Linked DNA regions of Xenopus tropicalis. The protein of the gene in region 1 purifies or fractionates together with the protein of each later gene. This does not show direct contact. Links are inferred from orthologs where the notes say so. Each region holds a gene or a part of one and is shown in the gene's direction. Other genes may lie near its edges.

Region 1 (6,204 bases):
GGTCCCACTTACCATAGCAATCAGGCATCCGTATGAACAGCAGTCTTAAACTTATTGAAAATAATAAACATGTCACATGTAGCTACATAAGCACAACCCTTAGGGTGGCCATACATCTTACAATTACTATCTTTCCTGTGACCAATGTGACTCCACTAATGTGCAGGTCTGAATCGTCAGACATGGAGGTAGAATCAATAGGAATTCTACCTCTAGCTGATGATTCATCCTTAAACGCAGCTTTTGTCCTGCCTCATCAATCGACCATACATGCACTGAATATCGTACGAAACATGTTGCTCGCCAACCCCTTGGATGTTGCTCTCAGTGCCCCCAAACCAGTCAATTATTTTTGAATTCCTGACTTGGTGAAAAGTTTTGGTTGAATCAAAACAAGATGTACTACCAAATAAGCCCCATGTAAGCTGATAGTGTGCATAGAGGTTACCTAATAGCCAATCTTAGCCCTTATTTGAAACATCCATGAACTTTTATGATGCTCTTCAAGTCTTTTTACACTTGACTGTGGCTCACGAGTAAGTAAGGTTGGGGATCCCTGATAAAGGTTCTGACTGCTCTTTGCACCTAGCACCGGATTGGCTAACTGCAGAGCGCAGTAATGGCAGTCACAAATGACTCACAAGTTAGGAGGGAGGATACCTAAGGTGGTCCCCTTACCCGCATCTCCTTAAGGGGGGAACACAAGTGTCCGTCAGAGAGACCTGCAGCAATTTTTTAAAGTGCAGGAATTGGTGCAAAGCAGTGATGCACCAGAACTGATATATATATATACTGTATGTATGTATATATATATATATATATATATATATAAATATACATATATATATATATACTCTCCATAGAAGGCACTCATGGCATGCAGGCTATAAGAAGATTCTTTATTGGATGTCCAAATCTACGCGTTTCGATCTGCTGAGGATCACATAGATTTGGACATCCAATAAAGAATCTTCTTATAGCCTGCATACTGTAAGTGCCTTCGATGGAGAGAATATCATAAATGGTTTGCACCCGGCCTTTGACTGTATCGTGTGGTGAGTGCCGATAACTGGACTTATATACATATATACAGTACCAGTAAAGGTAGCACACCACCTAAAAAGGAGTCATTGCCTGGGTGGTTATGCAATCAAAATAACAAAATACAAATGCAATAAAGGCTAGCACTCACAGGACTTTGATAAGTATTTGTCAAAAATAAAAAAGTTTCACAAAACATTTTCCTTACATGGTTTTTATATATCCGACGTTTCAGTTCCTCACAGGAACTTTCTCCCTGAAGAAAGTTCATGTGAAGAACTGAAACGTTGGATAAATAAAAACCATGTAAGGAAAATGCTTTGTGAAACATTTTTATTTTTGACAAATACTTATCATTGCCTTTGAAAGAAAGGTGATGTGTGCCGACCACCTGCAGTCAGGCTGCCCCCCTACCACCCCGTCCCTGCTCCGTGATACTGACTGGGTATTCTGACTGCCCCAACAGGTAGCAGCCCTCAAAACTGAATTAACTTTTTGAAGTTGAAAAAAACTTGTTACAGTTAGGTCATAGATGATAGTTTGACACCCCCTCAGATCAGGTATATCGCTTGAAAAAGTAAGAACAAAAATATTATACTGTACTATATAATACTCAGTGCATCACAAATTGACAAAAGGTTGGCAAAACCCAAAAACCCCTTCACACCCATGGAGTTTGGAGGTACAACATAGATCCATAAGAGATGGAATGGATCTTTCCACGAATATGCCCACCTAACGTGGGCAATATAGGAGTAATCCGATTGTTTGGCCCTAGGGCCAGATATCAGTCAAATAGTGCAGTTGGGGGTCACCATACATGGGCAATTAGGGCCCTTTAAACTGATTTAGCAGCTTACCCGCCCATGTATGGGGACCCCCAACAGGCCTCCCCAACCTATATTTGGTCAACAATCGGGCAGATGCTGATCAGGCAGGCTTAATTTTTCTGTCGGATTGTGGAACACATCCGCTCATTGATGCAGTCCTCGCCCAGACTTTTGTATCCCCTTAATTGTAATTCAATTGTTTGGCCCTAGGGCAAAGTGATAACATTAGCACGATATCACCCTCCTAAAGCTGGCATATTGAGGGAAAGATGAGCGAATCTTACTCTTGGGCCATGCAGCGGCCTTTTTATGCATTACAGTATCTGCATCGGCCTTTTGGCTATATGATATGATAATGCAGTCAATATTTATTAATCATTATAATTTATATATAATTATATAATATATAATATATATAATATATTTATATATAATTATATAATAATAATAATTTATTAATCATGATATATAATGCTATATTGGGGAGGGGGGCTGTAATAGAGTAAGCAGATATTAAACTGCTAAGGGGCCTGGTATAGGGGTGAAGCACTGACTGTCACAATACATGTATAATAATAATAGTATAATAATGTCTTGATCATAAAGTTTAAAGGGGTTTTAACACGACTCTCTTGGTGCAATGTCACTTGTATATATCTCTTTAAAAAAAAGTAAAAGAAAGTGGGGTACTTTATTAAAAAACATTAAATATCTGGCTATTTGTCCAACACTGTAATTTTCGTTATAGAAATCAACTAGTAATTATCCAAACCTGATCAGTCAAAAGGCGAAAGAGCAGGAGAAGGGAAAGGTGGGGTAGAAGCCATGCCAGCAGTGTCCTGTAGGGGGCGCAAAATATAGCGTTATTAGCCAAGAGGTGTGGGCGTGGGTGTAGGACACTCCGAGTAAATCAGGATTTACACACCCTGCGCAGCTCTCTCTCTTCCACCGATCCAACAACTTCATCAAAGTTCGCCAGCCGGAAAGTGCCACCATGCCCGTCAAAGGGGGGATCAAGTGCATCAAATACCTTCTGTTTGCCTTCAACTTCATCTTCTGGGTGAGTTTCGGTCTGTAGGTTCTGCTGGGGGGACTCGGGTGTGGGAGAGTAGAAGGAGCCCTGGGCGGAAAGGCGTGTTTGGAGCTCGCAAAGGGATATAGTGCTGTAGCATTGCTGCCTGGGGCTCAGACTGGCTGTTAGTGATACATTTGTAACAGTATTAATGTTAGGGATTCGCTGTAGTACAGGTACACGTACAGTTATATATGGGCATAAGTATATACAGGTATAGGTTTATATGTGTATTGCTTGTAAAATCAGAAGAAAATGAGAAAATGCTTAAATATGGCTCAATGGGGGAAATATGATTTCCATATTTCAGAGTTTCTTGTTGTAAAGCTATGAGTTTTAATATTATCTTAGGTGGAGGGTGACTTTGGTGTTTGGGCAAGCTAATTAAAGACATTATGGCTAATGTCACACTAGGCTGTGTCTCTGCCTGCGTTTCTGTGCAGGCAGAGAAACAGCATAGTGTCACATAAGCCTTTCTACATGGTAGAACACATGGCAGGATAAATACAGTGCCAGTTCCCATATATATTACCCCAGAACACATGACAGGATAAATACAGTGCCATTTCCATATATATTACCCCAGAACACATGACAGGATACAGTGGCAGTTTTATTTCCCCCACAACACATGGCAGGATAAATACAATGCCAGCTCCATATATAATGCCCCAAAAATACATGGCGAATGTGGTGCCAACCTTGTGTATAATATCTCAATCCTATTTCTTGTAGTAAATGCGTTGGTGTTGGTTTGGGGAGGCTCAGGTTTCATTAAAATCTGCCCATCATTATTGTTAATGCATATTTATTAAGCCCTATCATATTTCCTAGGGCTGTACAGTAGGAGAGTGTACACATCAAACAACGTACAATGATCAGAGCTTATAATCTAAAATAAGACATACATGTGTATATCCGTATTCTTTTCTCTGTATAAACTGCTTAGTGGTGGATTGTGGAGGGTTAAACAGGATTGGGGAATGTTTACACTGAAAGCCTGCATGGGGTTTTGTAGGTTTTTTTTTGGTATAATAAATAACTCCTTCAGTGCTGGAGCAAATGCTTTTGGGCAGGGCAAGGTTCAGTGCCCCAGTGTTGACAAACAGCAGCAGCTTATATGGTGTAGCCCTGCTCGTGGTTTCAGTTCTGCAACAACTGAAGTATCTAAAGTTGTACTGTTACCTTAGGGTCACCACCATACACCAGATATGGCCCTAGTTATTATAGTCGTGCCTGACCACAAAAAATGCACTGTTATGGTATTAGAGTTGGCACCATACCCCTTTAAAACTGGACAGACAGTACCCATGCTGAATCGTGTATCAGCAATACATTTTCATGCGCAGAAACTGGTGCAGTCACAATGAGCTGTGAACTAACCATGAATTATATGGGTTTATATTGTGTCAGCTGGGATCCTACAGGAAAACATAGGTGTGGGGCTGCAGAATATGTGGGCATTATATTGATTCATTGAAATGTGATCCCATTATTAATTGATGCAAGGTGTTGGGGTGGAAGGTCCCTGCCCCTTTGGAGACAATCCATGCAACACCTGTGTAAATATTTGGCTTAAAGGCCCTGTTTTACTCTCCCAGATCAGCATTGAAGGCTATTTTTGCTACAGAGCTTGCTGTGTGCCAAGAGAAAGGCAGGAAGGATAGGGTTAAACATTAATATAAGTCACTCTTTTAGTGTGGTTTTTGGTATACCACCCCCCCCCCCCAACCCAACCTGCCAACTTCTCAGTTGCCTGTATGCACTGCACAGACAGAAAAAAACAGATGAAAGTCAGCTTAGGAGTGGCAGGGAATAGGTTAAACTGTTTTAGGCGCCCCATATTCTGATCCCTGGTTGCTGGCTCCCAGGGTGCTTAGAATTTGTCAACAAGTGGGACAGCGCTGAACCTTTAGAACATAATTGCCTGATAGACTATAAATGTATTTTCGGTTGTGCTTAATTACTTGGTTCATTGTTCCCTGTTAGCCCTAAAGTATTCAATGCCTTATGTACCCCAGGAGGGTTAAAGGCCCCACCTCCCGACATGTCCCATTATCATTATTTCATCTGGAAGAGTTAGTGGTGGATGCAGAGCAGGAAGGACAAGGAGCTGGTATAGGGTTGCCATCTTTTCTGAAAAAAAAAAATACCGGCCTACTATATATATATATATATATATATATATATATATATATATATATATATATATATATATATTACTTCCCTATTAATAACTTTGGAATCAAGCATAATTTTTACCATCCAGGCTGGTAAAATACCAGACAGATTGCAACCCTAAGCTGGTCTACTGATGTGCTTGTGTGCATAGTATCATAAACATATTTTACACATTAATAGGAATTGTAACCCCCTTTTTCCCATAAATAGTAACTAACATTAGTTCTGGCCCTGCATACATGCCTGTGGTCTAATACTATAGTCAGCCAAGGCAAGCCCCTGCCCAGCGAGGGAAAGCAGGGGGGCGGAGCTGCAGGAAGCCAAACTAGGGGTACTACAGCACTACTGTTGCACCCTGTTACAGCCATGGATAGCGGAAGGCATAAGCCTGCTGGATTGTCTTTTTGGGGTGATCAACTATAATCTGTTGGGATTAGTGCCTTAACAAAAACATTTTCTGGGCCTTACCCCCAATTTATAAAGTTGTGTGTTGCCAAAAACTGCCCTTCGAAGCACCCCCTGGGCCCCACAGTCACAGATTCTTCCCCTTAAGTAGTCTGCCACTAAATAGGATTGCATGATGGTCAGTCCAAGTTAAGCCCCCTGCTTTAATATCGAATGAAAGTTGACTGGTTTAGTGAAAATTAATAACTAGCGTGAGCCTTTATGTAATGGAGTCACATTTGTATGAGCGTCAGCACTCCCATGGATTCTAGAGACGTCTAACTTTCGGTTCTTTTGGCATGTGATATCACTTGGAGGGAACTGGATTGTTTCCCACCCCTGATCATCAGTTTAAGGCACTTGCTGCCTCCTTACCAGGCCTGCTGCCCTTCAGTCAGAAGGAACTTACATCGGAAGCTTCAGATAACTGAACCCACCCTCCCTGATTCAGTTCAGTGACCTAACCCCTGAGACATACTTCCCCAAAATGTTCTTTGCTTGCAAAAGGGCAACTTTAGAATGTGTTTTGAATGATGTGCAGTGCTTTGACACAAAAGCAGGGCTGGTGTATCAGTTTAAAAAGGCTGCAGACCTATGCCAATAAATATACTCACCTCCACACTATCTCTGTACTCT
Region 2 (5,936 bases), on another chromosome or scaffold:
ATTGTGGGTAGGAATGAAGCCCAGAGTAGGGGTAAGACAGGGGATTGTGGGTAGGAATGAAGCCCAGAGTAGGGGTAAGGACAGGGGATTGTGGGGTAGGAATGAAGCCCAGAGTAGGGGTAAGACAGGGGATTGTGGGTAGGAATGAAGCCCCAGAGTAGGGGTAAGACAGGGGATTGTGGGGTAGGAATGAAGCCCAGAGTAGGGGTAAGACAGGGGATTGTGGGTAGGAATGAAGCCCAGAGTAGGGGTAAGACAGGGGATTGTGGGTAGGAATGAAGCCCAGAGTAGGGGTAAGACAGGGGATTGTGGGTAGGAATGAAGCCCAGAGTAGGGGTAAGACAGGGGATTGTGGGTAGGAATGAAGCCAGAGTAGGGGTAAGACAGGGATTGTGGGTAGGAATGAAGCCCAGAGTAGGGGTAAGACAGGGGATTGTGGGGTAGGAATGAAGCCCAGAGGGGGGTAAGACAGGGATTGTGGTAGGAATGAAGCCCAGAGTAGGGGTAAGACAGGGGATTGTGGGTAGGAATGAAGCCCAGATAGGGTAAGACAGGGGATTGTGGGTAGAATGAAGCCCAGAGTAGGGGTAAGACAGGGGATTGTGGGTAGGAATGAAGCCCAGAGTAGGGGTAAGACAGGGGATTGTGGGTAGGAATGAAGCCCAGAGTAGGGGTAAACAGGGGTTGGGTAGAATGAGCCCAAGTAGGGGTAAGACAGGGGATTGTGGGTAGGAATGAAGCCCAGAGTAGGGGTAAGACAGGGGATTGTGGGGTAGGAATGAAGCCCAGAGTAGGGTAAGACAGGGGATTGTGGGTAGGAATGAAGGCCCAGAGTGGGGGTAAGACAGGGGATTGTGGGTAGGAATGAAGCCCAGAGTAGGGGTAAGACAGGGATTGTGGGTAGGAATGAAGCCCAGAGTGGGGGTAAGACAGGGGATTGTGGGTAGGAATGAAGCCAGAGTGGGGGTAAGACAGGGGATTGTGGGTAGGAATGAAGCCCAGAGTAGGGGTAAGACAGGGGATTGTGGGTAGGGAATGAAGCCCAGAGTAGGGGTAAGACAGGGGATTGTGGGTAGGAATGAAGCCCAGAGTGGGGGTAAGACAGGGGATTGTGGGTAGGAATGAAGCCCAGAGTAGGGGTAAGACAGGGGATTGTGGGTAGGAATGAAGCCCAGAGTAGGGGTAAGACAGGGGATTGTGGGTAGGAATGAAGCCCAGAGTAGGGGTAAGACAGGGGATTGTGGGTAGGAATGAAGCCAGAGTGGGGGTAAGACAGGGGATTGTGGGTAGGAATGAAAGCACAGAGTAGGGGTAAGACAGGGGATTGTGGGGTAGGAATGAAGCCCAGAGTAGGGGTAAGACAGGGGATTGTGGTAGGAATGAAGCCCAGAGTAGGGGTAAGACAGGGGATTGTGGTAGGAATGAAGCCCAGAGTAGGGGTAAGACAGGGGATTGTGGGTAGGAATGAAGCCAGAGTAGGGGTTAAGACAGGGGATTGTGGGTTAGGAATGAAGCCCAGAGTAGGGGTAAGACAGGGGATTGTGGGTAGGAATGAAGCCCAGAGTAGGGGTAAGACAGGGGATTGTGGGTAGGAATGAAGCCCAGAGTAGGGGTAAGACAGGGGATTGTGGGTAGGAATGAAGCCCAGAGTAGGGGTAAGACAGGGGATTGTGGGTAGGAATGAAGCCCAGAGTAGGGGTAAGACAGGGGATTGTGGGTAGGAATGAAGCCCAGAGTAGGGGTAAGACAGGGGATTGTGGGTAGGAATGAAGCCCAGAGTAGGGGTAAGACAGGGGATTGTGGTAGAATGAAGCCCAGAGTGGGGGTAAGACAGGGGATTGTGGGTAGGAATGAAAGCACAGAGTAGGGGTAAGACAGGGGATTGTGGGTAGGAATGAAGCCCAGAGTAGGGGTAAGACAGGGGATTGTGGGTAGGAATGAAGCCCAGAGTGGGGGTAAGACAGGGGATTGTGGGTAGGAATGAAGCCCAGAGTGGGGGTAAGACAGGGGATTGTGGGTAGGAATGAAGCCCAGAGTAGGGGTAAGACAGGGGATTGTGGGTAGGAATGAAGCCCAGAGTGGGGGTAAGACAGGGGATTGTGGGTAGGAATGAAGCCCAGAGTGGGGGTAAGACAGGGGATTGTGGGTAGGAATGAAAGCACAGAGAGGGCCCACTAGGGGGCAGGGTAAGACACTAGTGTGTGAGCCACAGAACAACTAAAACACAGCTGAAATCCCCGCATTCCTTCGCTCAAACCTTCCGTAAGGGCACATCCGCCAGTGATGGGGCGGGGCAGTGCGCTGATTGGGTGTTACGGACAGGTGACATGAGCACCTGGAGTGGGTGACGTAATGTAGTAGAAGGGAGGGGTGCGGGGAAGGGGCGGGCAGTAGTAGCGCCAGAGGCCCCGCCCCAGCTGGTAGCGTCCCACAGAGAGTGAGGGGAAAGCTCGGAGTGACCATGCGGCTACCGGGGCGGCTGTTCCTCTTCTACTTCTTCCTCCTCCTCCTCCGTGCCGGTAAGTACCGAGCCCCGCCCCCGACCCACCGCTCTGTCTCTTGCCCCGTACTGTAACAGCGGGCCTGGCGGGAGCATTAGTGTCTGATCCCCATTAACTTCCCTGCACTTGGTCACTTTGTGGGGGCGGGACCCAGGGGCGAGTAGGAGGAGCCTATCCCTCTTTGTGTGTCCTTAGAGTGTAAGCTCTGTGGGTCAGTCCCTCTCCCTCTCCTGGGACTTACCCCCCTACCCCCCTGTCCCTCAGTGAGTAATACCCCTAATTACCCCCCTGTCCCTCAGTGAGTAATACCCCTAATTACCCCCCTACCCCCCTGTCCCTCAGTGAGTAATACCCCTAATTACCCCCCTGTCCCTCAGTGAGTAATACCCCTAATTACCCCCCTACCCCCCTGTCCCTCAGTGAGTAATACCCCTAATTACCCCCCTACCCCCCTGTCCCTCAGTGAGTAATACCCCTAATTACCCCCTACCCCCCTGTCCCTCAGTGAGTAATACCCCTAATTACCCCCCTACCCCCCTGTCCCTCAGTGAGTAATACCCCATAATTACCCCCTACCCCCCTGTCCCTCAGTGAGTAATACCCCTAATTACCCCCCTACCCCCCTGTCCCTCAGTGAGTAATACCCCTAATTACCCCCCTACCCCCCTGTCCCTCAGTGAGTAATACCCCTAATTACCCCCCTACCCCCCTGTCCCTCAGTGAGTAATACCCCTAATTACCCCCCTACCCCCCTGTCCCTCAGTGAGTAATACCCCTAATTACCCCCCTGTCCCTCAGTGAGTAATACCCCTAATTACCCCCTACCCCCCTGTCCCTCAGTGAGTAATACCCCTAATTACCCCCTACCCCCCTGTCCCTCAGTGAGTAATACCCCTAATTACCCCCCTGTCCCTCAGTGAGTAATACCCCTAATTACCCCCTACCCCCCTGTCCCTCAGTGAGTAATACCCCTAATTACCCCCCTGTCCCTCAGTGAGTAATACCCCTAATTACCCCTACCCCCCTGTCCCTCAGTGAGTAATACCCCTAATTACCCCCCTGTCCCTCAGTGAGTAATACCCCTAATTACCCCCTACCCCCCTGTCCCTCAGTGAGTAATACCCCTAATTACCCCCCTGTCCCTCAGTGAGTAATACCCCTAATTACCCCCCTACCCCCCTGTCCCTCAGTGAGTAATACCCCTAATTACCCCCCTGTCCCTCAGTGAGTAATACCCCTAATTACCCCCTACCCCCCTGTCCCTCAGTGAGTAATACCCATAATTACCCCTACCCCCTGTCCCTCAGTGAGTAATACCCCTAATTACCCCCTACCCCCCTGTCCCTCAGTGAGTAATACCCCTAATTACCCCCTACCCCCCTGTCCCTCAGTGAGTAATACCCCTAATTACCCCCTACCCCCCTGTCCCTCAGTGAGTAATACCCCTAATTACCCCCCTGTCCCTCAGTGAGTAATACCCCTAATTACCCCCTACCCCCCTGTCCCTCAGTGAGTAATACCCCTAATTACCCCCTACCCCCTGTCCCTCAGTGAGTAATACCCCTAATTACCCCTGTCCCTCAGTGAGTAATACCCCTAATTACCCCCTACCCCCCTGTCCCTCAGTGAGTAATACCCCTAATTACCCCCCTGTCCCTCAGTGAGTAATACCCTAATTACCCCCTACCCCCCTGTCCCTCAGTGAGTAATACCCCTAATTACCCCCCTGTCCCTCAGTGAGTAATACCCCTAATTACCCCCTACCCCCTGTCCCTCAGTGAAGTAATACCCCTAATTACCCCCCTGTCCCTCAGTGAGTAATACCCCTAATTACCCCCCTACCCCCCTGTCCCTCAGTGAGTAATACCCTTAATTACCCCCCTGTCCCTCAGTGAGTAATACCCCTAATTACCCCCTACCCCCCTGTCCCTCAGTGAGTAATACCCCATAATTACCCCCTACCCCCCTGTCCCTCAGTGAGTAATACCCCTAATTACCCCCTACCCCCCTGTCCCTCAGTGAGTAATACCCCTAATTACCCCCTACCCCCCTGTCCCTCAGTGAGTAATACCCCTAATTACCCCCCCTGTCCCTCAGTGAGTAATACCCCTAATTACCCCCCTACCCCCCTGTCCCTCAGTGAGTAATACCCCTAATTACCCCCCCTGTCCCTCAGTGAGTAATACCCCTAATTACCCCCTACCCCCCTGTCCCTCAGTGAGTAATACCCCTAATTACCCCCCTGTCCCTCAGTGAGTAATACCCCTAATTACCCCCTAACCCCCCTGTCCCTCAGTGAGTAATACCCCTAATTACCCCCCTGTCCCTCGTGAGTAATACCCCTAAGTACCCCCCTACCCCCCTGTCCCTCAGTGGAGTAATACCCCTAATTACCCCCCTGTCGCTCAGTGAGTAATACCCCTAATTACCCCCTACCCCCCTGCTCCCTCCAGTGGTTAATACCCCCTAATTACCCCCTACCCCCCTGTCCCTCAAGTGGAAGGGTAATAACCCCCTAAATTACCCCCTACCCCCCTGTCCCTCAGTGAGTAATACCCCTATTACCCCCTACCCCCCTGTCCCTCAGTGAGTAATACCCCTAATGTACCCCCCTACCCCCCTGTCCCTCAGTGAGTAATACCCCTAATTACCCCCCTACCCCCCTGTCCCTCAGTGGTAATACCCCATTAATTACCCCCTACCCCCCCTGTCCCCCCCCTCAGTGAGTAATACCCCATAATTACCCCCTACCCCCCTGGTCCCTCAGTGGAGTAATACCCCTAATTACCCCCCTACCCCCCTGTCCCTCAGGGGTAATACCCCTAATTACCCCCTACCCCCCTGTCCCTCAGTGAGTAATACCCCTAATTACCCCCTACCCCCCTGTCCCTCAAGTGAGTAATACCCCTAATTACCCCCCTACCCCCCTGTCCCTCAGTGAGTAATACCCCTAATTACCCCCTACCCCCCTGTCCCTCAGTGAGTAATACCCCTAATTACCCCCTACCCCCCTGTCCCTCAGTGAGTAATACCCTAATTACCCCCTACCCCCCTGTCCCTCAGTGAGTAATACCCCTAATTACCCCCTACCCCCCTGTCCCTCAGTGAGTAATACCCCTAATTACCCCCTACCCCCCTGTCCCTCAGTGAGTAATACCCCTAATTACCCCCTACCCCCCTGTCCCTCAGTGAGTAATACCCCTAATTACCCCCTACCCCCCTGTCCCTCAGTGAGTAATACCCCTAATTACCCCCTACCCCCCTGTCCCTCAGTGAGTAATACCCCTAATTACCCCCTACCCCCCTGTCCCTCAGTGAGTAATACCCCATAATTACCCCCCTACCCCCCTGTCCCTCAGTGAGTAATACCCCATAATACCCCCCTACCCCCCTGTCCCTCAGTGGAGTAATACCCCATAATTACCCCCCTGTCCC
Region 3 (5,476 bases), on another chromosome or scaffold:
ACCATTTTGAACATAACTCAATATTAGTATACTGTTGACCCAATAGGGAATGAGATTTTATAGGACACGTAAGATGACAGGATATACAGTCTCATGTTTTTATGTGACAGGATGAACAATTAGGAGTACTCTTAACTATTCAAGTCACTTGGGCAGCATGTCATTTCTCATGTTATCCTTATTTTATCCATGTTTTGTACACAGCATTTGTAGTCCAATGTCCATTTAAGTCTTTATTTATGCATTTAAAATAACAGTTCGTCATTCTCACTGTGGTGAGTGGTGTTATATGGAAGGCAAAGGAATAAGGGCCGTTAATAACAGGAGGAAAGATTGCTCAGCATCTAGTCTGTTATTAGCAAACAAGCATTTCATATGGGTTAGTGAATCTGGCAAACTGTTCACCTCTTATTACATTGTACCCCAAGCGGGGCCTTAAATCACCTCTGAGCAGTTACAGAATTCTGGGGTCAAAATGGACCCAGATATTATTGCCTTTAATTAGAAGTGATTTGAAGTTAATCTCTGCATTTTGCTTCCATACATCATGTGATTCACTGCCCTTTTACATTATTTTCATGTATTGAGTTGTGCACTTTTTAAAGGGGTAGTTCACCTTTAAGTTATTTTTATATGTTGTAGAATGTACTGTTCTTAGTAACTTTAACTGGTCTTAATTTTTTACAGTTATTTAATAATTTGCTTCTTCTTCTGCCACTCTGCAGCTTTGAAATAGGAGTCACTGACCCAGCTCTGTGAGGCTATTATTTTGTTTTATACTGTATATAATTTGGTATTGTTACTTTTTAGTACATTTATGTCTACTCAGGCCCTCTTTTATGCATCTTTCAGTATTTCAGTCAAACCATTACATGGTTCCTAGGGTAAAGTGGACCCTAGCAACCTCCTTAATATTACTGTTTATATCATACTTAAAGGAACACCAAAATATGAACATGTATAAAAGTAATTATAGTATAATGTACTGTTGCCTTGTGCTGGTGCAACTGGTGTGTTTGCCTCAGAAACACTACTATAGTTTATATAAACAAAGCTGCTGTGTAGCCACGGGGGCAGCCATTCAAAGGAGGAATGCCACAGGTTAATTAGCGGATAACAGATAATACCTGTGCCTTTTCTCCTTTTTTCCAGCTTGAATGGCTGCCCCCATGGCTACACAGCAGGGTATTTATATAAACTATGGTTGCGATTCTTTAGCAAACATACTAGTTTCACCAGTGCAGGGCAACAGTAAATAATATTTTTATTACTTTAAAACAATTTCATTTTTTGGTGTTACTGTTCCTTTAAAGGTATTTTAAAGGTGAACTACTCCTTTTCACTCATTTCCAGTGTCTTTCTTTATTTTTATTTATAATTTTTCATTTCATCCTTTAGGAGTGGTCCGGGCAGAACAAAAAAATAACACTTTAGAAGACTTGTTTATTTTTGAAGATGGACCTTATGAAACTGGTGGTGAAAACAAACGAGATTCAGATTTAGTTCCTGCACCAGATAACAGTTACTTAGGTAATAATAGTCTGAGGCTACAAAGCCCTTTTGGAACAAACTGCAAGACTGTAGTTTAATCAGCAGCCTTCCATTTCTTATTGAGCTACAAATCCCAGCACCCTGTAAGAGTAGGGATACTGTGAGTTGGAATTCAGAAGCAGGAGGAACACATTTACATTTCTAGCATTGGACAGTTGTACTTTGTATCACTGGGTTGCTCTAATAATGTCATCAAGGACTGGCTTGTGTCTGTGTTTCCGTAACCTTGCTGTCTCTCTATCTGCTTTCTCTTTCTTCTGGGACTTCATACGTACGTATAGGCCTTCTGTTCATGACAACCATGTCCAATACTGATCCAGACCAGTTTTTGTACAAATCTGGGCCCCCCAGAGCCAGGTCGGAGAAAACCGTTGATGTGATGACTAATAGCTACCTAGGTTGGTGGTAACTGGCTGCAGAAACTCTTTCCATTGATACGTCACCTGTGGCATCACTGGCAAACCATTCTGGCCACTCACACTTCCTGCGTGCTCATCCCATGATGCATTTCTACATACATGTAATAGCGTAAATAGAATTGAAATACCATACCCAGCATCACCCCTGTCAGTTTCATCTCCACAATATCAGGAGGGAGATATTCCTGCTTTTCGTATTTAGTGTACATGTGTTTCATGGTCACTTAGACAACAAATACTAAAATCCTATTGGAGAATACTGTATATTAAATCTCTCAAAACTAAGCCATGTTATATCTGTTTGCATAGGTTAACTGAAAATAATTCAAGCATATACACATCTGTTAATATTCTCCTACTTAATTCACCCCATATTTAGTTGTACCTTGAAACACATAGGCAAAATTAAGTTTATACATGGCATAAATATATTTGCTCCATTCCTTTACATTTTTGCAGCCTCCATCTTGGTGTTGCTCCAGACATGGGACACCTGTGGCTCCAGATGTCCTTCAGCAAATCTGGGGGGCTTTAGGTGACTTATCCCTGGTATAGCAGCATGGTATCATCAAAATGCATGCACTGAGTTATTTCTTATAAATGATGTTATTGAGAGACACGTGTCTACAACAGAGTGGCTCCTTTCTGGTAATGAAGACACCATGTTCATTTATTGCATGTTAATTGTATTTACTTAAAGGGATTATTATCAGCATCATTACCCTAATTTTTAACCCAGTTCTGTAGATACTCCCAAAATAGGAAGAATATTTTTACTTTAGTAAATAGTTTTCTAAAACAGGTCATTGAATAAAATTAATTGACTTTAGCCATATCAGTTGTGCAAAGCTAGCTGTTCAGGTTCTCTTTCTGCCAGTCTTTGACATCACCAAAGCGGTGTTGCAGAGACATGATAAAAAGGGCTACTTTCTCCATTAAAGCTTGGAGCAATCTATAGATTCTGGCAAATGCCAGAGTAGCTGCCATAAGATGCCACAGACAACCAATATTTATTGATCCTGGTGGGGCCTGTTTGGACCTCTCTTTACTTGAAATGCCAGGTACTATTTTGAATCTCATTCTGGATCAGTCTCCATCTGGTCCACTTCCACCCCCCCAGCAATGACACCAACAAGAATATGAGATCAAGGGATGCTTAAGACTACTGGGCTGATTTCTGAGTGAGACTGCAGAGACTGGTTTAACAAGTTTACAGTGCTGGTGATATTAATTTTAATTATAGGAGTAAAACGTAGTATTGTAAATAATGATCCCTTTAAGCTGCAGACCATCATAAAGCGAAGTGAGATTTATCTTATTCCAGTCTTCTCTGGCTTTAATTTGTAGGATTTTCTTTGGATACCGGGCGAGGGATAACGTCCAAGGAAGAAATGACTTTTGTTTCTGGAGCCCCGCGAGCCAATCACAGTGGGGCTGTAGTCCTGCTGCAAAAGTTTCCACCCAATGAGAGGATGTTGTCTGCTGTACATACATTTCAAGGAGAAGGGCTGGCGTCTTCCTTTGGTTATGATGTAGCGGTGGTCGATCTTAATAGAGATGGGTAAGGCTGCTTGTGTATAAGCCATGAAAGCTCAATGGTAGTTCTGTCAGTACCTATGCCAGAGACTTGTGATTTCAAGCAAGACTTGTTATGTGCCTGGGCAGTGTTTCTCCAATTTCCTGTTGGCCGCGTGTGCTCAAATGGTTACTTTTTATTCAATTGTGTGAGCACAAAAACAGCAAAGTGTGGCTTACTGATATTATCACTTATTGGTCATGTGTTACCAACATGAGCTGTCAGGCAAGTGATTCATGTTCTTCTGTGCCACCGCCTTTCAGTTGTCATTATCCCCGCACTCTGTTAATGGTGTTAAGAAAAAGAAACACAGATAAGAATTTGTCAGGAAACACAAAGTGAATTGCACAAATTCTTTTCTCTGACACTGTTCCACAGATCTGCTTTTATTTTAATCTCCAGGTCAGGCTCATATCCTTCCTGTGCATACGGCTGTTAGGGCTATGGATGTGCGCCTGAGAGGCACAGACCCTGAAACACGTAGAGGCCAGTTTATGAAGGATATAGCTATATTATTTATTAAAATCCAGTTAGATTTTTCCCTTTCTCTCTTAAATTCTAGGTTACAGTGTGCAAAAGAGCTGTTTCCCAATTGTGCAAATTTGTTTTTCAAATTGTCTTTCCCGCTATTAACTTTTTCATTTTTGGTTAGTGTTGATACAGTTGGGTGTATCATTGAAGCAAAAAAATGTATTCTCAATTGACAAACCCCTCTGCTTTGATAATGCATTGATTGTTGCAGTCTTTCTCCTGACTGTGAAGAAGGTGTTTAGAAGATCCAGTGGATTCTTAATGTTAAAATGAGAAAAGTCATTTCAACCAGTAATCTCAAGCTCTTGCAGAAAAACCCTGTTACCTGACAATGAGATACACTGTGACTGGTTTACTAAGGAAGCTTGGTGCTATTGTCTATTCATTTGCACCCATGCACAGCCATCAGTGGGGTGTTTTTAGTGTTGCCACTGGGAAAGATACCAGTCCTCCACTCGCTTTTATTTACCAAAACTGGCATGAAGTCATACAGGTACCTGTATAACTAGTACAGTCATACTAGTCATACTAGTCATTCAGATAAACCTGGCAGGTATCAAACATAGGTGGCAGAGGCAACCACCATTAGCCATTTAATTTGTAAATGCCTGTGTTCATAGTAGACCGTCAATGGTTGCCTCCTCACTCAAACCTGCATATTCGTCCTCAAAGAGACCTCATTCCATACCAGGGTGATCAGGCCATCCAGCAAACATTAAAAAGTCTCCACCGGGAGCAGCTTATAGGGATTTCACTATCGCTGGCTTTGTGGTCTCGTATTGATAGGGTCCTTTGCTATTCGGCTTGTTCCTTACGCCCACCCTCTAACATGAGCACTGCAGTAGCTTGCTGGCTTGACTAGTCAGAAGTACTGATAAAGTTTTGACTCTCACTTAGGAACCACTACTGAGGTATATTCCCTTGGCGTTAGTTAGCTTCCCAGGTTAGATCAGCTTAACAGCTTTAGTATATTATCCCTCATTTAGATCTTCTCAGGACATTCCCCTAACCTCCAGTAACTGAGGGGCCTCTTCTACTATCTTAACTGCAAATGTGGATTCTCTGTGCCCTCTAGTGATCAAACTTAATAAGTGCAGTGAATTGACATGAACAGGAAAAGAACCCATTAACCCATTGCATTAAAATGGTTCATGTTGACACAAATTCCATTAGCCCTTAATTACTGTATGCATGTAATCATACACAGAAAGTTATTAACAGTGCTTTACTTTTGTAACGACAGTCCTGGTAAATGTTTTTCTTTTTTTTTTTCTCAGGTGGAAGGATATTGTTGTTGGTGCTCCCCAATATTTTGATAAAAATGACAGAGAAATAGGAGGCGCCATTTATGTCTATATAAATCAACAGGGAAATTGGAATGATGTTATGCCTGTCCGCA

What was found.
Region 2: the proteins of cd9 (region 1) and ptgfrn purify together in Homo sapiens (co-immunoprecipitation; 8 studies listed by BioGRID and IntAct, with this or other methods). This does not show direct contact. The link is inferred for Xenopus tropicalis from reciprocal best matches to the Homo sapiens genes CD9 and PTGFRN.
Region 3: the proteins of cd9 (region 1) and itga6 purify together in Homo sapiens (co-immunoprecipitation; 3 studies listed by BioGRID and IntAct, with this or other methods). This does not show direct contact. The link is inferred for Xenopus tropicalis from reciprocal best matches to the Homo sapiens genes CD9 and ITGA6.

What each region holds. Positions count from the first base shown.
Region 1 is NC_030679.2:18,569,377-18,575,580, reverse strand, and holds the start of cd9 (CD9 antigen), read left to right. Parts: upstream 1-2,817; 5' UTR 2,818-2,865; coding exon 2,866-2,931; intron 2,932-6,204. UniProt on the Homo sapiens protein: Integral membrane protein associated with integrins, which regulates different processes, such as sperm-egg fusion, platelet activation and aggregation, and cell adhesion.
Region 2 is NC_030678.2:431,298-437,233, reverse strand, and holds the start of ptgfrn (prostaglandin F2 receptor negative regulator), read left to right. Parts: upstream 1-2,223; 5' UTR 2,224-2,461; coding exon 2,462-2,519; intron 2,520-5,936. UniProt on the Homo sapiens protein: Inhibits the binding of prostaglandin F2-alpha (PGF2-alpha) to its specific FP receptor, by decreasing the receptor number rather than the affinity constant. Functional coupling with the prostaglandin F2-alpha receptor seems to occur.
Region 3 is NC_030685.2:67,285,395-67,290,870, reverse strand, and holds part of itga6 (integrin alpha-6), read left to right. Parts: intron 1-1,398; coding exon 1,399-1,530; intron 1,531-3,317; coding exon 3,318-3,531; intron 3,532-5,354; coding exon 5,355-5,476. UniProt on the Homo sapiens protein: Integrin alpha-6/beta-1 (ITGA6:ITGB1) is a receptor for laminin on platelets. Integrin alpha-6/beta-1 (ITGA6:ITGB1) is present in oocytes and is involved in sperm-egg fusion.